Lepisosteus oculatus: one gene and its partners. The protein of the gene in region 2 interacts with the protein of the main gene of each other region in a pairwise test. Links are inferred from orthologs where the notes say so. Each region holds a gene or a part of one and is shown on either strand. Other genes may lie near its edges. The genes, in order: homeobox protein PKNOX1, nup58 and abi3a.

Region 1 (7,440 bases), on a different chromosome or scaffold from region 2:
TTTTCCGGTTCACAAGAATGCGTATAAGGTTATTAATCAATGTCACCTCTGAACCCTATGTTCAACACCTGTCCTAATTCAAGTCTATCTAGAGGACACCTGAAGAACATACAGAGGCTCTTTAAGATGGTTGGATTGATATAGCACCATTGCCACATGTGGCTTAACATCCAGTTAAGAACTGTTTTGACAGACAATAACTTAATAAATGAATGGAGGGATAACAGTGTTCTGTGTTTCTGAAATTTGTTGAGATCATGTTATGAGTTACCACATACCTTCCTGTGTATTTCTGTAAAATACTGTATTCTGTGATCCATTTCTAAAGAACTTCAATTATGTGCATCTGCCCTGAGCATTTAATTCAAGCACCTCACCAGTGGGCATAGAGTCAATTCAGATGTGGCCTTGGAAACGCCAAAAATGCTAAGAAGAACAACATCCCAAATCCCAAAATTCTTTTCAGAAGCAACATACTTGATTGTAGCTCTGGAGCCAAAGTTATCACTAAGCACTTTGATACAGCCATACAGAACTTTAAAAAAATCACACATGGGTAACATAAAATGCATAACTTTAATACTTTTCCGTTCGGTCGACAACTGTCATCTAAACTCTCGGCATGAAAGTTGACCACTTTCAAGACTGCAGTCAGCGATACCAAGGGCAATTATAACCACACATCAACCTTCCTTTTCAACAGAGGAGAATGTGTCATTGCAACTAAAACTAGTACCTCAAACTTGACTACAACATTTTCTCAGAAAATGTCAATGTTTTATCCATGTCTGAATTTATATTTCCATCCACAGATTAAATGTATCTCAACCAAAAAGTTTGTTTTTGCTGTAATCATAGGCTGTGACCTGCCTGTCCTCCAGGACCTTTACATCTCCAGGACTAAGAAGCATGCTGGCAGGATCATTGCTGACTCCTCTCACCCTGGCCATCATATTTTTCAATGTCTCCCATCAGAGAAAAGATTTAGGTCAGTTAGCACCAGGACCACAAGACACAAAAACAGCTTTTTTCCTCAGGCAGGTGAGCTTCATTCTTTTCACTTTCCCTTCTGATCACAACATTTGCCATGTGATGGCCAGTCAGACACAGAGATCTAATGGCAACATTTCCAACACTGCTCACAGATACAAGTACCAGCTTTTTTCCTCAGGCAGTGACTCTTATTAATCATCCCTATTAATCACTGAAAGTTACTTAAATTGTGTTATTAAAATTGAATATTGATTACTTAGTTTTCAACCACGGCATTATGTGCATTAATAATATTGTCTGTATATGGATATGTATAGTATGGACAGTTAATTTATCATTTACAAATATGTACATACGAATGGGGTTATCACACAAAAGTAGAGTTCTGACACATTCTTGAGGTGCAATATATATTTTTCTTTAATTTCTGAAATGTATATATGGTATGTCTGTATGTGTATAGTGTATGAGCAACTCACCAAGTCAAATTCCTTGTAAGTGAAAACTTGGCCAATAAAGTGATCTGTCTCTATATGTATAGCAGACATATCATCCATAAATCTTGTACAAACTGCAACAGATGTTCTAATGTTGAGATCTGGAATTTTCCATAGTTGGTCATTTGAGAGAGTAACAAGAGTGGCGCCTTTTCAATCTATTTTGAAATTTAAATAGGGAAATTGTAATGACGAAAGTCAGAATATTTAATTTGAACAGGACGTGCAGTTATAAGCATTAAGCTTTTCTATCTAAAATGTATGCTCCTTGAAAAAATAAAGAAAACAAAATCAGTGTTACGGAGTGTAACTAGATCCCCGATCTTAATGCCTCACAGCTTAACTACGTCAGTCCTCGATAACGAAGCCAGACTGAAACTCGATCACAAACCTCAGTCCTTATGAGGAAAGCGGGAGACTGGCCCTTAAAGGGAAATGCTTCAGCAGGAGCACGAAGCGTACAAGGCGGTATAGAAAAATACATCCATTAAGTTACATCATAAAAAGCAAAAACTGATAACGCACCCTGATATTATGAAGAAACTTTGTATTGTTCCTCGTATTTGGATTTCAATCAAGCAATCTATTAGTGTGCCTTTTAACAGTGTCAACAAACGAGGATGTAAAAAAGCAACAACGTATAAAACATGCAAATTGTTTATCTCTATGCCTGCATTTTGTAAGGCTGTGCGTTTCATTCAGGTGTTTCATTTACGAATTTACTGTGTGCTGCTAACAGTTTTTTTTTTTACTGTCCAATATGTCCCATCAGCTGCTTCCTGTAAACCTACCCCCATTTTAAGGGGCGCCCTGCTAAATTCTGGTGAAAAGTTAATTCATAAGCTCCTCTAAAGAAACTTCGTAGATGCTCGGTGCCTATTTAGACTTTTCAGAGAACTATGGGTTCATGGTTCATTTTTTATGCCTTTCATACGCTGCAAGTCATAACGCTGGACACTGGAAGGGCGTCTTGTTGATTCACGTCTCGGTGTGTTACGGAGGGGTTTTCTCAGCGCCATGTTTCGCGCCGCAACGTCCGCCACAACCAGCCCCGGGCCTCGACCGCTCTGCCCAGACAAACCCGGCCAGGCCGCATCCGGCACATAAACACGACCGACACGGAGAAAATTCGCCCCTGTCCCTTTAACGTTGAGGAGAAACCTGCCCCCTGTGCCTCCATCAATCAAGCCGGGCAGCTGCCTAGCCCTGCCCTCCTCGCTGCGCCGAGCAACAGCAACGAGGCCTTGCCAGCAGCTCCCTCGCTTTTCCAGAAATTTCCCTTGAAAAAGACGCTCAAACCGGACATATTTTTCTCCCCTTGTTCAAAAACGTAGGGCGTTTTGTACCCTCACGCTGACCCACTCCGAGCCACCTCCCTACTATGCCCTGGTACTTGCGATAGGGCCGACGGCGCTTTTCTGCGCGATATTTGATTGATAGTGAGCGGAAAAAGAGGATTTTGAGTGACAGCTTACCTGGGTGCCAATCTTCGTCACACTGACAAGCGGCTGCAGCAATCGGGACCCGCAGCCGCCGCGTGGCGTCATCGCGCCGCGGGCACGCAGCTCACGGGATAAGGTGGGAGGAGGGATGACGTATGGCGTGCACGCGCACGCGCACGACCCGGGAGCGGATGCGATGACACGAGTCTTCTCTGTACTGCAGGAACAAGCTAGCACTGCAGTACGTGGCTCAGAGATTTACTGGTTAATTTGAGAATAATCCTATCTGCATTTTGTTTGCAGATTTTAAACGACATTCCTGTGTTTACATTTTAGTTTCACATAGTCCAAAAACCCAAAACGTGCTAGTTTTAGTTGGTGTTAACGTGAGTGAAGACTTAGATGTGTCCTGCAGCTGACTCGCACCAGATGTCTACCGTGTCAGGCTCTGGCTCATCGCGGCCTTCTTTAAAATAAAGCAGTTACTGACAGTATATCAGTATATCAGCTCTTTGAAAATGTTACAAACAATTCAGTAATATGCAGTTTAAAATTTAGTCTTTGAAACGTGTTTTTAATATAGATTTCTAGCTTCTATGTGCAGTGAATTAATTATATATTAACACATTTTCTAATCCGTAGACCCCAGGTTATGTTTTTCTGTTGTAGAATGCGTTGTTTTTATATACTGTTATAAGAACAAAATGGGAAAAAAAGGTTTGTGACTAGACTAGACACCAACAGTTTCCACTACAGTCCTACTGTACTTGGACGACGTTCTGACTGATGTGTAACTATGCCACGAAGTGACCTGACCGTATTGTTACCCTAAGCCTAGACAAAAGCTTCGCTCAAATAACGACAATGACAATAACTGTTGTGAGCAGCTGGAATTGGTGTTATTCTTTATATATTCTTCGGACCAGCTACCTGTTATCTGCAACAAACTCTCTGATTCGTTTTGTAGAAACACAAAATGTTAATGCTTACACTGACTTCCAAAGATCCAAAAACCGGATCCCTTGTTTATATACTCACCTCATAAGCAGTTTCACGTTCATCAACAGAAACAGCATGAGCAGTTCGTAGCTTATCCGTTGCTCTGGAGGATTACAATTAACACTATAATGTGATGTTTATGTGATTGTTTAGATGTCTCTAGGTTGAGCAACATTTCATTATTGAATTAAGAGTGTGAAACTCGCTAAAAATCATAGCCAAATGATTCAAGCGCATTATACAGTAGTAGGCATGAGAATTATTCAAAATAATTTGTCTACAGACAAAAGGTTTTTAAAAATCACCATGTTGTAATTAAGGTATGAATATGTTTTTATAGTCATAAAAATTCAAATGGAACAGTTTTTCTAAATGGAATTATATTTCAAATTGTTTGCTTCAGGACTGAAATAGTTTAGATGCTAACCAATCAATTTTTATATATTAGAAGATTTAATATTCAGTTATTTTTGTGTGATTTATTTTCATACTTCTGTTAGTATCTAACTGAATCCTAAAGCCAATTAACAGTGAAAGCAATAAGGACTAAGAAAATGCAGATTTAAGATTGAAAATTAGGGGTTCTGGATGCCTGGAACCACACTGTCCTTCTTTGTTATTGAAGCAGATTTACTGGGATCAGTAAGCTACCAGAGCTGGTCAGATAGTGAAACGGTTCATTTAAAAGCTCCTTTATACATTCATATATTTGTGGTCTTTAACTCTGGAGATCTTGGGCTGTACAGGAAAGCCAGGTATGACTTGGAGAGGGCCATCAGACATGCGAAAGGGGACTACAGAGACAGGCTTGAATCACAATGTGGGGGCATTAACACAATGCACCTCTGGAATGGCCTGAAGGCTATCACTAATTACAAAGGACAAATAGGTTATAACAACAGCTGATGATTCACTGCCTGACCAACTAAACAACTTCAATGCGAGGTTTGACGCTTCACACAAAACGCCCATTGAGCCTGGGGAATTTGTGCTGCAGCTGTCTGAACAGGAGGTACAGAAAGCTTTCGGAAAGGTGAACCCACGCAAGGCTGCCAGCCCTGATGGCATCCCATCCCCCTGTGTTTTAAAGGCATGCAGAGAACAGCTGGCCCCTGTCTTTACTGTAATATTTATCACGTTACTATCCCTGTCTACTGTCCCACTGTGCTTCAAAAGAACTACTGTCGTGCCACAGCCTAAAGCAACCAAGTTGTCATGTCTGAATGACTACCGCCTGGTGGAAGTCACCTCAGTAGTCATGAAGTGCATGGAGAAACTGGTGAGGGGACACATCGACAGTATTGTCCCGGACTCCCTGGATCCCTGGAGTTTGCTTATAGGAATAATAGGTCAGTACACGATGCTGTCTCACTGGCTCTTCACACCACTCTTGAGCACCTGGACTAGAGGAAAACCTATGCCAGGATGTTATTTATTGACTTCAGCTCAGCCTTCAACACAATTGTGCCAGGCAGGCTGGTGGTCAAACTCAGGGGTCTGGGCCTCAACAACGCCATCTGCAACTGGGTCCTGGACTTCCTGACAGGCAGACCCCAAGTGGTGAGGATTGGAAACAAAATATCATCCCCTCTGATCCTCAACACAGGGGCCCCCAGGGCTGCTGCCTGAGCCCATGGCTGTATTCTCTATAACACATGACTGTGTGGCTAGATTTAACAGCAGCCGCATCATAAAGTTTGCTGATGACCCCACAGTAATCTGTCTTATCAGCAACAATGATGAAACCACCTACAGGAGCAAGGTAGAAGAGCTGGTGGAGTGGTGCCACAACAACCCCACACTTATCATCGGCAAAACAAAAGGGATTATTGTGGACTTCAGGAGATATGGAGGACTTCACACACCGATCCTCATTCACAGGGCTCCAGTTAAAACTGTCAGCCCCTTCAGGTTCCATGGCCTCCAGATCACTGAGAGGCTGAGCTGGTCAAAGAACACTGCTGCCATCCTCACTAAAGCCCACCAGCGCCTTCACTTCCTGAGACAGTTAAGGAAGTGGGGGATGAGCAAGACAACACTCACCAATTTTTACTGTAATACCACTGAGAGTGGCCTTCCAGTGTGGTATGGTGGAGCCACAGTACAGGACAGAAAAGCCATACAAAGGCTTGTGAGGTCCTCGCAGTAAAACATTGGGACCGAGCTACCCTCCATCGACCAGATACATCTCGACCGCTGCCACAACTATAGCTATACTTGAGCTATACATTGGGACCCAGTTGACCCTGGCCATGATCTGTTTTCACCCCTGGGTTCTGGTAAGAGGTATTGCAGTATTAGAACACAGACCAATTGACCAACAGTTTATTCCACCCAATCATAAACAGCTCAAATTAGCACCTGCACTTTAAGGTACTACACTGTTTGCACTATGTCCTGTCTTGCCTGTATTATAACATATATTCTCTAAATTTATTGTCCATGTCTGTTTGTCATTTGTGCCTATTTTTTTTTTAATATTACTGGGTACAGCTGAAAGAGTAAGCATTCCAATACTCTTGTTGTTATAAAAAATATTGAATCTTGAAAATACTTGAATTACACATGTGCGATATGATATAGAAAAGGGTGCTCAGTTGACATTTGATCTATATGCAGTTACAGTGCATGACAAACATTTGTCACCGCTTATATTACCTTAGAAAAAGGAACCTGAACATTAAGGTAGTGTAGAACTCTGATCTGTTACCATTACAACACAATGGAATACTGCTACACACTATATGGACTTGCACACAAATGCAGATATTGTTCCCTTATGGCTGGCATCACTAATCATCAATGGGTCTTCCACAATAACAATAAATGTAACATACCTTGCATTTGGATTTAAACTTCCAGGAAATTGAATAAAATTATACCTTTTTTGAATGTGATTTGTGTTTACAATCCACTTGCTTGTTCAGCTTACATTTTGAGATATTGTAGGCTATATTCAGAAAACGTTAATGTCTATGTGAACTTTTTTAGTATTCCTAGTTAATAGTCAATGTTTAAACTGTTTTTCCTTATTGAACAAGTGGTAAATGTGACAGAAGGTTAGGGTTTTAAAATAGTCCTTTAACTTTTTCAACTTACCAAAGACACTTAAACCTTTTAACAGCACTAAAATAAAATACATTTAGAATTCCTGTCTTCCCCCTTAGATGTACAGTAGTAGCACCTCAGGCACCATGGGCAAGCTAGCTACAAGTGCTGAGTTACAAATGCAATGTAGATCATTATGAATGTAACATACCATTTTGATTTTAACAATGGGAACCCTCTGGGGAGTTCACTAGGCATGAAAGTCAGGTCACCACTCTTGTAGCCTGTTATCCATATTGGCTAAAGCTCTGAGAAAAAAATAGCTCTCTCTTTGCAAAACTATCTGAACTATGTGTGGTAGTTCACTCTAAACCAAAACCATTTTTTTTGCCTAAAATCATGTCAGATATTTCAAACAGGACTTCTATGGGTCTCTATAACACCATCAACTAGCAAGCAAA
Region 2 (7,466 bases):
AACACACACAAGACACTAAAAGGGCAACCGCCAGGTTACACCCAGTGCACTGAGACTTCAAGGACGTGGGCACAAAACAAAGCACACGGGAGGCTGGAGAAAAGTATTTCTAAATCACTTGCATTAGATCTGTGAAAGGGCTTTAAATCACTCAGAGACTAAACAGGTAAAGTAACCAACAAATAAATAAATTTCTGATCTTTGGCTGCTGTTGACCCTTCCCACTGCACAGACCTACTGTACCACATCACAGGCACATGGTCACTTCCTTGTCATGTTTATTCAGAGTTGAAGGACCTTCACAATGAGGATGTATTCACTAGACAACACTTGTTAAGTCTATACTAAAAATTCAGAAGTTTGAACTAGAAAGGGATGTACTATAAATTAGTCTCTCTATCCAATGACTGAGATACAAGAAGGACCTTAAAGTGGGGGAAATGCCATCTCCGACAAAGATAACCCAACCCCAGTATCATGTACATTAGAACACCTGAGCAAATTAATTAAAATACTTTATTAATAAGATCATTCTGTTAAGCAATCTATGTAAAAACCTGTATTTCTTAATTTTTTCCTCTTATGTCAATGCTATGCGTGACAAACACTCAAATGCAAAATTTCAGAACTATATTAGGGTCTCTGTATTCTATAATTATTGACCAAAATAACATATCAAACATTTCGGGACTTCATTTATCCGCTATTCTTAAACATTCTTTCATAATTAGGTATTTAAAAACACTAGGAAAGTTAAACGTTTTAAAATAAAATCAGTGCCACACAGAAATGACAGAACAGTCACAGGGAAATTAAGAAAGTAGCAGCTTGCAGAAATCTAGGTGAGAAAACTCATCAGACTACTTAATTTTGTCAAATCTCTGTTCTTTATGAAGTATTATATGAGAAACTAAAAAAAGTTAATTACCAGACTTAAAGGCACCTTTCACTTATTCTCTCTAGAGCAATTTAATAATAATAATAATTAATAATTGCTTACACTTATATAGCGCTTTTCTGGACACTCCACTCAAAGCGCTTTACAGGTAATGGGGACTCCCCTCCACCACCACCAATGTGCAGCATCCACCTGGATGATGCGACGGCAGCCATAGTGCGCCAGAACGCTCACCACACATCAGCTATCAGTGGGGAGGAGAGCAGAGTAATGTAGCCAATTCATAGAGGGGGATTATTAGGAGGCCATGATTAGTAAGGGCCAATTGGAAATTTGGCCAGGACACCAGGGTACACCCCTACTCTTTTCGAGAAGAGCCCTGGGATTTTTAATGACCACAGAGAGTCAGGACCTCGGTTTTACGTCTCATCCGAAGGACGGCGCCTGTTTACAGTATAGTGTCCCCATCACTATACTGGGGCATTAGGACCCACATGGACCACGGGGTGAGCGCCCCCTGCTGGCCCCACTAACACCTCTTCCAGCAGCAACCTTAGTTTTTCCCAGGAGGTCTCCCATCCAGGTACTGACCAGGCTCACACCTGCTTAGCTTCAGTGGGTTGCCAGTTGTGAGTTGCAGGGTGATATGGCTGCTGGCTTAGTACTAAGCCTAAATTTTTAAAGAAGTCACGTCTCACTTCCTGTGCATTTGGGCTCTCAAAAGCTTTCAAAAGTAGTCATGGGAAGTACCAACTATACAAATTCAACTTCTAGAGGTCTCGTGTTCCAAGGCATGTCTTTTCTTGAGGCCAGCAACCTGCCTCAAGGGAAACGAACTAGGGCACCGGGAAACCTGACAGATTTATTTCACTCAACACGCCCTGTTACTCAATAATAGAGAACAAAGAAGAAAAAGGACGACGCACTTTCACAACACCAGCAAAACAAAAAAGGCGAGAGCAGTTCAGCACCAGTAATCTTCGGCACAGAGCAACAGCGCCTTACCTACTAGGGAATCTCACAACAGCAGAAGACTCAAAAAGACTGCTGGCTGACCCTTCCTCAACCACCCTTCACTTTCAGACACAAACAGAATCGCTACACGCTCCTCACACGTCCTAGAGCCACAGTTCAGGAGCAGAATATCAGTACCTCACGTAGCGATTAATGCAGGGTTGTGTGAAGGTAAATGTTAGTACCACTACGTCAACAGCACCTCAAGCCATTCACTCTAGGTTTTGTCAGGGGTCGGGCTCATATATTTCTAACACCTGACAGTGTACACCACACCCTTCTGTCCGCATGTGAGCACATCTGCACGGACACAGACTCCAACTAATTATAAGGGTTTTCTTCTTTAGGGTGCCTGGTAGGAAATTATGCAATATACGGGGTTATATACTCAGCTTCGCAGTAGCAAAGTGCATCGCGACTTCCACATCAACCTAGCTGGAACTTTAATTACGCTTTTCCTCCAGACACACTGACTTTTCACATGGGGATGGCACTGACTTGATGGATCAAGGAGACGCACTTTCACTTTTGCTCTGATTAGCAGCTACGCAGGAAAACACACACACGTGAACAGCACACACTAAACCTAATGTCGACCAGCTCCCAGCACCCGCGCCCTTCAGTATCTTCCACAGAAAACCGAACATCTCGGACGGACCCCGGAGGATTGAATATTCCAGACCAGACCTGATCTGATCTGTGCCGCGGAAAATACCGAACCACGTGTTCGGCGCTCAAGGCTCCTGAACCTCAGCTTAGTTCCCCGCGACACCTTAGCATTCGCACTGAACAGGTTAGCTCTGCCTTCCCACTGTTCGTAGTTTTCTAACGCCTATTCCGGTGAAACACGAATATTGTATAAACCTCAGGCCAGCAAATTCTCTCCTGCTGGCAAGTTACATTTCTGAAACTTTCCGCTAATCCAAAAGGGGCAGGACATTAGCAACAATCCGTACGTTGTTAGTTCCTCTATCAGAACGAACTACGAATTACTTTTAATGGTATTGCGTAAGAAACGTGGCCTATTTAATATCACTTGTCCCATCGCTGTTCTTCAGTCAGGGAAACTGAAATCACTTACGACCGACACCACTCATTCATCACGCATTTCAAGAAGTTCTCTCACCTGGTCGCAGCTCCTAATGAAAATCCGCCCCCTGCGGTAGTAGATCCCAGGCCGCCGCCGCTGCCAAAATTAAACCCCGACATCTTCGATCTGCTACTGTATGTTACCGATGCGAGCTAGCCTGAAGCACAGCAGATCAGGGCCACAGCGTGCAAGCCCACCATTTAGAGCTGCACCGTGCACAGCTTCGCACTTGAGCCAAAACCGAACCAACGCGCTGAGCCGCCCTATTGCCGAACACCGCACTGCAGAAGAACATTTACATTACATTAACCCGAGCTGTGCCATGTCTTTTTTTAAAAAAAATATACAACATCAAACGCAACTGTTTCTATTTGTTTCCGCGCCTACACGGCAGCGTCTTCCGGCGGCAAAGACTGATGGGACGGTGGAGGACTGTGTGCCCGTGAGCGCGCACGCCCCCTCTCCCAGATCAGTTCATGAAGGTTTAGTTGCATGCCCGATTCACTACAATACTGTATTGCTAAAGCACAACGACAAACAAGAATAATCTACAACTGTTAATTACCATCTACGATGTAAAAGAAAAACGTATAAGAACGACCGCAAGTGCCTTGAAAAACAGAACAGCTCTTCTTCATTTTGCGGATTTGCTGAGATGCGTCTTACTAGTTGATCAATCGAGGATGGGCAGACACAGGTGGGATTGTATCAGACAAGCCCTCAATGAATTTCACATTTTCTTTTTTCTGCGGGTGCTGAGAGCTCAATTTAAATTTCTGGATTAGCAGCATTCTGAAAAATGTGAAAATATTCAAATTACGTCTGCAGAGTTCTATCTTCCACACATCATGATTTGGATATGACGTTAGCTATTTACGGAAGCAACTGTTAGCGTGCAGTATAAGGTATCATACAAATATACCCTATAAATGAATTGACAGTGCACACATGGTCAGTATAGAGGCCTGGTCATTAAGGCAGATTCTTCAATTGGCCTCTCGGCCACTGAGACTCGCTCCAAATACAAACTACAACTCCCGGCATGCCCGAAAAGACCCAGCGCATGGGTGTGACGTCACTCTTTCTTCGGTCACACATCAAAGCAGGAAGCACGGCTTTTTTATTTGGAGCAGAGGGGGGTTGTGTAGATTATCGGGTTGCATATGTACTTGTTTCAACGCACAGGAATTGAGCGCCGGGTGACTGTGTAGCAGCGGAGACCGAAACTCTTCTGCTGTGAATCTTGATCGCTGTGTGGTCACAGTCGCTCGTTTGAATTAAACTATGGAGCACATCAGAACGCCAAAGGTAAGATGAATACTCGGATTGGGATGAATTCTGCACTAAGACCTAAAGCCTATGCGGGAGCCGTGGAGAACGAGGTAGAGAAGACCGTCATTAGTCAAAATGACGAAATGCGCTTCAGAGTGTTGCAGTGCCTGATCAAGGATTAGCTAAAAGTGCAACATGTCCAAGGATAAGGATGAGGGAGTGTTCAGGGTGTTTATTTTTTACATGTACTGGTCTGGGAGTGGATTTTCACCGCTGCCACACTTGTCTCCCCACAGCGGCACAGTTTTATATCCCGAAACGGTGGTGAGAAAGGAGGGGAGACCGAGCGCACAGTCACCCTGCCCTGTCGTGCAGCAGGATGCTGGTTGAGGCAGGGAGGCGTCAATTTCGTTCCGATAACCCGCACAGTGAAGGGCAGATAGCCTGTGTCATGTCGCTGCTAATGCCTCGTTTAGTGCCGTTTCTGCACTGGGATGATCTAATTCTCCCGATCTGAGCACCAAACCGGACTTGGCAGGTTGTGTTTTCTCGTGTGGATAGTCTATGAGGTGCTCAGTAAATGAAGGAGAACCAACGCCTTTCATCGATGGGTGTAACAGTTCGCGTGACAGCGCACCTGTTAGAGTAATTGCTAAGTAAACAGCTACGTTTCGACTCACAGCTTTATGTGAATTGATATAGAAAATGTCATTAGGGCAAAGCTTAAAAGGCCATACACAGTGTGATTAGTATATTTGGCTGACACTCTTATCCAATTATTTGTACCCATTTATACAGCTGTGTTTTTTCCTGGAGCCACCTGAGTGAAATACTGTACCTTATTCAAAGATGCAGTGCCCCACTCGGATTTTATCTCAGACGTCTGCTTTAAAGTCCACAGACCTGACTGCTCTTCCACACTGCTGGCTGACATCATTGTCATTTATAGCGTGGCAGAGAGGAGACAACATAATATATATAGACCCCGAGTGATCAAACACATTGCTTTTATACCCAAATACATCTGTGTGACCTGATGTCAGGTCTTGAGTGTGATCTGTGGCGTCAGACAGAAGAGGAGGACATGTGTATATTAATAATTCCTCACACTTCTGTAGCACTGTTCTTGACACTCCACTCAAAGCTCCTCCCCACCTGTGCGCTCTCGGTGGCCAGTTCAGAGATGGGGATGACGAGGAAAGTCCAGGGGGAAATTTGGCCAGGAGTTTGGCCAAGGTAACACCCCAACAGTTTTCAAGAAATGCCCTGGGATGAAAAAACATGCACTGTGCGAACTTCAGGTCTCACAGGCTCTGCTGCGTTTATGTTCCCATGAAACCTAGTTTGACTGAACCTCGAAAAGCCCTGCTGCTCGGGTTCAGCAGTTTCCGCGGGCTCCCGGCTGCTGATATACTGTAGTAGGAGCACGTACTGCTGTGGAGGAAGAGATCTCTAGAGCTCTTCAGTCTGTTCCTTTTAGAAATGCAATCGTCCCTGCCCTCCTGATGCAGGGCAGGAGGAAGGACAATATCCCGGTTAGCGATTGCTCTGATTTTTCCCCCCCGTTGTGTTCCAGCTGGAAGTTGGGGAATGGAAATGCAGGGAGATCCTGGCTGGAATGTGGCGATGCGTTCTTGAGCTGTGTGTGAAAGCAGCTGGTAAAAATTCGGCCAGGCGTATTCTTACAGAACACCGCTATCGTGCACATCAATCAAGTCAGTGTGCACCTCTATGAAACTTATCTTTAACACTTTATTCTGCCACAACATACTGTACATTGTTAACTGGGATACGTTCTCCTAACCAAGGACAGGATGAGGTCCTGGAATCCATTAGCCTCTAACTACCAAAGAGGTCTGATGTGCCAAATAGCCTCCTGTCATTTTGTACCCATTCTTATAGAAGAACCGGAGGAATAAATCAGATTGTTTGGTTTTTGTTTACATTGCTTTTCATTTGATGAGAAGCAGCTCTTCGACTGATGGGCTCAGGCCACCCTCCCATTGGAAGGGCCTGTTGTCCTGTTGTCTTGCTGTGTGCTGTCGGCGTGCTGACCTGTTGCTAGGCTACCTAGCGGAATGTGTGAGGATGCAGAAACTCCCTCACGTCGGCTCTTTCATTCGAGATGCCGAGCAATTCTACTGCCACCTGCCTGGGGGAAATGGTGGAAGGAGGGGAGATGTGCACCAGTGTCCATTTTGTGGCTGGTCCAACTGAAGAAGATGAAGCTTCCCTGGCCTTTATCCCAATAATATGATATGATAGTGCAAAGATCACAGAAGAATTTGCAAGCTGCCATTTAAAGACATGCAGTGTTTTTGTTGACAATGGAAGTAAAGCTGGAATTTGAGAAAGCTTCTGTTTCAACGTTAAGTTTAGTGATTTGAGGTAGGATTAGAGTTGAATTTGCATGGAAGTTAATCTTATTCAGCATCGTTGCAGCTGTTCATCGTAATAAACAATGACTTTCCTTTGCAATGGGCTCATGTGGAAGATTTCAGGCACTGCTTTTCTTGAGAAGTATCATTCTTTGACACAACTTTTAGACCTTTTATGTCATTCTTAGATCTTTTTTCCAGTTAGTTTTTCTTCTTTTGATTTTGGGACTGCCTAAAATTCACTGAGATTGCCTAAAACACGTCTTTCTCAGATTTCAACCCTTATAAATCTTTTCCCTTATTTTATTTTTATCCTTGAAATGATCAAGATACTTGATGATGATCACAACAGTACTAATAGTCAGAAGAAAGGTCAGAAACACAGAGCACCAGCAGCTGTGTGAGCTTTATGAAGCCATTGTGGTGAACTCATAGCTCTGTCCCCAGTGCTGTGTGTGTCTCACAGCTGGGTGAGCCTCGTGTGAGTGCTGTGGTGAGCTCCGAGCTCTGTCCCCGGTGCTCCAGTGCATCAGTGTGTCTCACAGCTGGGTGAGCCTTGTGTGAGTGCTGTGGTGAGCTCAGAGCTCTGTCCCCGGTGCTCCAGTGCATCAGTGTGTCTCACAGCTGGGTGAGCCTTGTGTGAGTGCTGTGGTGAGCTCAGAGCTCTGTCCCCGGTGCTCCAGTGCATCAGTGTGTCTCACAGCTGGGTGAGCCTTGTGTGAGTGCTGTGGTGAGCTCAGAGCTCTGTCCCCGGTGCTCCAGTGCATCAGTGTATCTAACAGCTGGGTGAACCTTCTGTGAGTGCTTTTGGTGA
Region 3 (7,455 bases), on a different chromosome or scaffold from region 2:
CTTCCAGCAGCAACCATAGCTTCCCAGGAGTCTCCCATCCAGGTACTGACCGGGCTCAACCCTGCTGAGCTTCAGTGGGTTAAAGGTCTATTAATAATGTTAAATACTTCTTTAAGTTTGAAAATAGTGTAACCTTGGTCATTAGCATAAGTCACAATTACTAGTAACTAGTTATGCTAAAGCACCTTCTTTTTCTACAGCATAGGGGTACCTGCATGAAATATTAATTTAGCATTTACTTTTTTTCCATCTAGTCTTATTATGAATCCAGTCTTATCTTGCAGATTATTTACTTCACCTGTTACAGTTTGTGTGCTTGGATATTATGAAAGCATGTAATGTTATTTTTAACCTTCACTGCAGGTATGAATCTCTCCTTGTGATTCTAGTTTTTTGTTTTTCAGTTGCACTTGCAGCTCGATATATTTCTTTTCTATTTTGGAATCTTCTGGCTCAGACGTCCTTCTGCATTTCACTGTGTAACCCAGTCCTGTCTGTCTGTAGAGCTGTCCTGTTCCTCTGTGGGATTGTATTACTCTCACTTTGTGCTGCTCTTGCCTGTGGTCTGGTTTGTTTCTGTCTCTCATTTCGGAGTGCTCTGTGTTTGTCCCCTGTCAGGACCCTTTCACTTTTTCTGTATTATCTCTCATACTGTCTGTGTTCTTTCCTGCCCTCATCTCCTGTCACACCTCAGGGCCCGACTGAGCTCACATTTCCTCATTTCACTGCAAATTCAGAGAGCTTTCAGTCTTCAAGAGCTACAGAACTCTTCGAAAGAATAGCTCATCTCTCAGGGCAGCAGAATACCTACAGTCAGGACTGAGCAAGGCAGGAAGAAAACCAACGTCTGCTTTTAGGGCACTTTTCTGGCCCAGTTTCCTGTTGTTGTCATCCTTCTTTCACTGCACTGCAACACGCTGGGCACCAGACAAGGAGAGCTCAGAGGTTTATACACACCCCGAGTCTTTGTGCATCCCTCTCACAACCAGGAAACTGCTCTAAGAATTGTGCGCCCGCATGGGAGAGCGAAAATTGTCTCAACAGTTATGTAAAACCAAGGGGTCGCTCAACCACAGCCATGAAAGTGAGAGAACTGCACAAAGCAGTGAATTTGTCCTTTTAAATGGCAAGTGGTCATGTTTATTGTCTGCCCAGTTCCGGAGTATTTGAAGTGCAGAGATTGCGCTGCACTTACTTGCTGTGTTTCTTGTCAGTTTTAGGGGGTAATATCCATCCATTTTCTAACTGCCCAATCCAATTCAGGGTCACGGGGGAGTCTATCCCAGCAAGCAATAGGCGCAAGGTAGGATACACCCTGGACGGGACACTAGTCCATCACAGGGAAAACACAGACACACACTCACTCCAGGGCCAGTTTTCGCAGAACCTGATTAACCTACCAGCATGTCTTTGGGCTGTGAGAGGAAACCGGAGCACCTGCAGCAAACCTTTGCAAACACAGGGAGAACATACATACTCTATGCACATAGCACCCCAGGAATTGAACCCCAGGTCTGAGCACTGTGAAGAAGCAATGCTAACCAGCGTACTGTGTGAGGGTGTAACATGTCAGATACAAATTAATTTGTGTCTGTATATACTGCTGATGTGGACAGAAGGGGTGGTTATGGGCAACTGTATGACCAGCTGTCTGATGTTTTTTTTAGTCTTTAGTTGATTCACACTAGCATCTTCAGGATGCCTTATAAATATACCTTTGAGTCAACCTGGTCTCAAAAAAGACGCTGTGGTAACAGAAACTGGTTATGGTTGGTGGCATAAAAAAGCGCTGACACTTGTCAAGCAATGCAACATTTTTGTAGGAGAGTATTCTGTTGTGTTCTAGGTTATTAACAGTACAGTGTAAGTGGTACTCCTCGTTCTTGCTTATTTTGTAACATCTGAATTGGAACTCTAAAGTGTCCTAATGTATGCATTTAAGGAAACAATATGAACCATTTGATACATATATGCTATTGGTTCTCATTTTATGTCTTTAATGCCCATCAGTATAGTTCTATAATACAGTATCACAAGTAATAAGCTGCATAATACTACAAGATACCGCAGAATAAGGACAAACCCGAGTAATGAATTGGACAGTAGTATACATGAAGAGCTCCTAAAGTTATTTTTTTTAAGGTTTTGATTCGTTGTTAAAATGGGCTTGCTGGTTTCATAAACTGTAAAGTCATGGCCTTGCACTAGCCTCTTAACCTCACAAGATTCCAGTGTGCAGAAAAAAACAGATTGAGTTTAACCGTCAGCTGTCTCCTGTCCAGGCCTCCGTGCAGAGGAAGACGAGGAGGAGGAAGGTGTTTTCGGAGGGGCAGCGGGTACCTGCTGGCGAAGCCGGTGGGTTGCACCTACCTGTAAGTAGTTGCTCTCGCAGTAGTCGGCCACCTTGTGCAGGTTGGCGTAGTTGTCCAGCAGTGCCTGCCTGGCACTGGGGGCCTCCTGTAAGATTGTCTGGATCTCCTCTCCATTCTGATCTTTCATCGTTGCCCTTTGGCGGCTGTGCCCTGCTCCGCGTTCGGGTTTGGAGTATCAAGCAGAAGCAAGAAGGGAAAAATAAACCCCAGCAAGTCGAGGAGCAGAGCAGCGCAGTGCCCTGAGCCTGTCTTTATCCCTCCTCTGAGTGAAGAAAAGAGAAGCAGTTAACCGCTTCTTATTCAGAGCGAAAAAAAAGCCTTTTAAACCGAAAGGGGCTTTTTTTTTTTGTCTCCGCCTCAAGACGGCAAGCTCTTTTTTTTCTCAAAGGCAAACTGACTTAGAGTCTTGTCGCTTGAGGTTTCACATCTCTCTTAGATGTACGCATAAATTAAAAAACACTAGTGGACCACTGCTTTTTGTCGCTGTTTGAATCTTCTGTGTTCAATCTTCAATGTTTTAACATTTTCATGCTACCCCCTGGACTTGCTTGAGTGCCAGAAATTCCAAACGGCTTTTCTCTCCGCTGTTTGACCGTAGTGTTCGTTTGGAAGCTCAGACCTGAACTGCTTCTCACTGTAAATCCTGGGAGGCTAATGGGTGCACAAGAGATGGCTTCTCGCCAGTTTATTTTTAGGAAGTAAGCGCTGTTTTTGAAATAAACTCTGCTAACTTCCTGCTGAGTGGCAAATGAAATCCCACAAACCTGAAAAAGGGTAATGCTGAAAGATAAACAAAAAGCTTTCAAAAGGGAAGAGTTTTTTGCAAATGGCCAGAAAACAGCTTTGTAAGATGAGAAGAAACCTATGATGCATCAGACTGAATTCCCCATGGAAGCTGGGTTGCTTTTATACTGTTAGTATATAGTCTGTTGTCAATGACTGATATTGCGTATAACTTAAACTAGTTTCACTAGGGGTCAGAGTATCAGGAGCTTTTTTCATGCTGCTTATGCTGTGCAAAACAGCTGTCCAGTCAGCAGCATTTAAGTAATAGGATTTGATTCAACAGTTGTCTCCTGATGTATGGTCTTTGTCATGATAATATTTAATCATACGGATAGTTTGTCTATAATATGTAGAAATGAGGCAAGTCCTCTCCACAAAGCTATTTAAAACTTCAAATCACATTGCCATACCACTGGACATCCGAGTGACCTAGTGTAGGACAGTTAGCACTAATGTTTGGAGCGGGGTGAGAGTTAGTCTCAGGGTATGGCCAGCGTTTGTGTAAGGGTAGGTTCATGGTAAGTATCAGGTTTTAAGGTTGAAGAGAGATTTGGGGCTAGGGTTCTAATCAATACATCTTGTTTGGAACTGTTGTTGATTTTTGTATTGACAGGGGTGAATACTCCAAGTGGGGGTAATTCATGGAGTACTGGCGAGATCTGGATAAGGAGCTGCTTAACTTATATAAACGATTCAGATTGTGGTATAGTCTGGTATACAGCATTTGGTATAAACTAGCCTTTGTGATAATTTGCAGCAGATACCAAATTAGGAAGATTAGCAAATACTGTACTGTAGAAGCAGCAAAAGAAATTCAATAAGATTTACAGTAGATAAAATTCAAGACTGAGCAAACACCCGGAAAGTAAAACACTGTACTTTTCAATTTCCTGTTGGCAAATGTAGGGTTTTACTTGCAGGAAGCAAAAACATTAGAAATCTAAAGTATGAAACTGGGGTAGGTTTGAAAAAGACTTTTCACAAAAGGTTTTTGTGTGAAGACATCATTTACATATCCTCGACAATGTGGGGAAGCAAAAGGTAGAACTGTGTAGAATTTATACTGATGGATAATATGGTACATTAATAAGGCCAAGTTTTGAGGCCTTATTTATATCATAATGTACAATGTATGATAAGGCCTCATTTAGAATATTGTGCACAAGTTTGTTAAGAAAAAGGATGTTGTTTGGGAATCAGGCCAGAAAAGAGCCACCAGATACATTCTGGGGTTTAAAGGAAGGTCTTCATTGTCAGCTGCTAGGACCAAATGGAGCCAAGTGGTTTGAACAGCCTCTGCTATGTTGTAAATACTCTGGTGCCATCTGGTGGTTGCCTTGAGTACTGCTTTACCATTTTCCAGTACATTTGAGACGTAGAATTCTAAGCGTATTGCAGTGGTGGTTATTGGCCATTACCTGCTAAATGCAGCTTCACTTAAACCATTGTGCGCTGTATCACTGTTATGTACAGTGTATCCCTGCTGTCTGCTCTGCTTTAACTATCATATTAAACAAGTGTTTAAGACATCACATACTATACAGGGATGACATCCTGTAATGTATCATGTTGCAGCTACAGTAAGTGGTCATATTACACCTCTGGGGAGAAAATATTTTTACAACCTGATTCTCTGTAAGATCAGTCTTGAGTGCTGGCCACAAGCTCTCTGTATTACAGATGGATTTATCCCTTGTCTTGCATTCTCAGAATAGGAATACAGCTCTTTAAACTTTTCATTACAGTAAACAAAGTTTGAGAAACACCCAGTCATAAGTAACTCAAAGAATGTCAAAGAAGGAGTTTGTCCAAATTAAATTATTTAATTAAAAGAAAAAAAATGTATATTCCAAGTCAATCTGGGGGTAAATCCACTCTTCTTTATACACGGGTGAAATCAAGACACTTTCATAATTCCATAAATTTAATGCTAACTGAAATATACTGTACAGCTACCCTACCTTTCTTAATATAGATGTATTTCAAAGTACTGACCAATATTTTACAGGGACAAAGTTATACAAATCTAAAAAATATTGCATCTGCCAAATACAAAAGTAACTATATAATCTTATTCGCCTTTATATTTTTGTACAATTCGTAATAGAAACATTTGTCTCAAGACAATGACAGTAGCTTTTTTTGTTTGCAATTCTCTTATCGGAACAGAGCAGCTGGGCTTTATAACACAGGAACCTTTTAAAGGCGTCATCATCACATAGCATGGGCTGTGCCTATAGGTTCTGAGCAATTCTTGCACACAACTAGGGCCATACTGTTCAGGAAGCCTGTATTGCTCATCACAATGCCTTGTGGGTCAATGCAGCCCAGAACTGATCAAGCTCAGGGATGATTCTTTGGGGGGAAAAGCTTCAGAAGGCACACACAGATTGTCAATGAGAGGTGACATATGCTGAAAGACATGAAAACGATGGACAGGGGCCATGGGTTTCAGCTTGTTCAAGGGCATCATGGACGAACAGAATTTTCTATTCTATGTTGATCAAAAACAGAATTTTCACTGTGCAGCAACAAGTGGCATTAAAAAGAACCCATCTCATGACTACAAAACTGCAACTTGCAAATTTTCAGATGTAATTTTTTGTGCAACAGTTCTTTGGCCACATATAAGCACATGCCAAAAAAAACAAAAACAAAGTCATCCACATCCAACAGCCTCTCATTCCATCGTGCCTGGAACTTAAAGAAAATGGAGTTTTGGATCTTAGAATGGAGGTGTCCACAACATTGGCTGATGACTTGTCCCAGTGATGTCTGTCTCTAGGGACAGCCCCCAGTTCAGTTTTAGACTTCAAAGCTCCTTGTTTGAATCCTCTGCTAATCCTGCCCCGTGATGATCGTCTCCGTCATGGCATGGAGGGAAAGGAGATGCAGGAAACGTGAGAGAAACCCCCAGGAAGTCTGGCGTACCTGCGCCTACAGCATCCTAAGAGAATTTGTGGCTTCCAGCAGCCTGTGCAGGAGACTCTCAGCTGGGGTAGAAGATCCTGTCGTACTCGTTGAGGATGTACTCCACAATCTGGTTCTGGAAGACCATGTACATGGTGATGTTGGCCGACTCGGTCTCCGGTCTGAGGAGCGTGGGGCCGAAGACTATCGCTATGCTCTGCACAGACATCCGGTTGTCCTCTCTTCTTTCTATCACCCTGGGGAGGGCAAGCGAAACAAAAAGTTTAAAATAAACTGAACGACTTTATTACCTAGGAACAAGTAATAGGTTTATTCCCTGCTGAAAAGAAGAAGAAAGAGAAGAACAAGGCTCCACAGCCGAAACGTTGCGTTTTCTTTCTTCTCTTTTCAGCATGAAATAAACCTGTTACTTGTTCCTTTGCAGCCTACGCATGCTGACGCAGTTACCCACCTGAACTACTTTATTACCTAGCTGTTTATGTTGCCAGGGTCTGGTTATCAAACAGCATGGCAATAGGATGCAATGCAAAATGGGAACCTTTTAGTAGATGTTTCTGATCCGTTGCTCTTAAGAAGGATAGGGCTCAGCTCAGGCGACCTCCGCCTGGTTGATTAGCCCTCCTGCCCTTGTACCCACCCCCGTGGAAGCTGTGCTGCATAAGGTTTAAAACAAGGCAGGGGGGGGACCAAGACTCCACCATCAGGAGCCAGAGATCCAGAGAACAGAAGCTGAGGTCCCACAGGGACTCACCTGCGCAGGTGGCGGAAGAGCTCCTGCATGGTGTCTTGATTGGGCTGCGGGAGAGACCTCACCAGGTCCCTCATGTAAGTCACCTTCTGGCTGTTATCGCCAATATCTGCGCAGGACAAAGAGCACCAGTGTATGACAGAGTGGGCACACAAAGGTGCAATAGTATTTCAAAGGAGTCGGGACCTCTGCACTGTGCCAGAGATCAAACCAAAGCAGTGCCAATTAACTACTGAAATCTGTAAAGATACAGAGGAGCTAATGAAATCATTTGACTCAGGGAATACATAAGAAACGTGTTCATGCAATGAAGGCTGGGGTTGACAGTTCAACTACAGTACCGCTGTAGGGACTGTTATTGCTATCTGCTGCTATAGTTACTGCATCCACTAATACGGATGAGAATTAGAACACCGACTTAGATGCAGATGAATCTCTTCCAGTACTGTAAGCACACTGGAAACATGCGTGGTTTTAATATTTCCATGGAGACAGGCATCCAGTTCCTGGGAAACAAAAAGGTAACCATCTCAGTCCTGCGTTCCAGGGGAATAGAGACCCTTCGGAAAGAGATGTGTGTGGGAAGAGAGGACGGCGCGCTCACTGATGGCAGCGATG

The links.
Region 1: the proteins of nup58 (region 2) and homeobox protein PKNOX1 interact in binary tests that used the Homo sapiens proteins (3 or more experiments, as listed by UniProt). The link is inferred for Lepisosteus oculatus from reciprocal best matches to the Homo sapiens genes NUP58 and PKNOX1.
Region 3: the proteins of nup58 (region 2) and abi3a interact in binary tests that used the Homo sapiens proteins (3 or more experiments, as listed by UniProt). The two-hybrid records come from large-scale screens. The link is inferred for Lepisosteus oculatus from reciprocal best matches to the Homo sapiens genes NUP58 and ABI3.

The regions. Positions count from the first base shown.
Region 1 is NC_090710.1:1,028,876-1,036,315, forward strand, and holds the start of homeobox protein PKNOX1, read right to left. Parts: upstream 3,061-7,440; 5' UTR 2,966-3,060; intron 1-2,965. UniProt on the Homo sapiens protein: Activates transcription in the presence of PBX1A and HOXA1.
Region 2 is NC_090700.1:5,230,478-5,237,943, reverse strand, and holds the start of nup58 (nucleoporin p58/p45), read right to left. Parts: upstream 3,432-7,466; 5' UTR 3,122-3,431; coding exon 3,039-3,121; intron 1-3,038. Other genes in the region: mtmr6 (myotubularin-related protein 6), read left to right, coding at 4,287-4,310. UniProt on the Homo sapiens protein: Component of the nuclear pore complex, a complex required for the trafficking across the nuclear membrane.
Region 3 is NC_090723.1:7,575,032-7,582,486, forward strand, and holds the start of abi3a (ABI family, member 3a), read right to left. Parts: upstream 3,030-7,455; 5' UTR 2,500-3,029; coding exon 2,371-2,499; intron 1-2,370. Other genes in the region: arhgap27l (rho GTPase-activating protein 27), read right to left, coding at 6,148-6,325, 6,841-6,946, 7,442-7,455. UniProt on the Homo sapiens protein: May inhibit tumor metastasis. In vitro, reduces cell motility.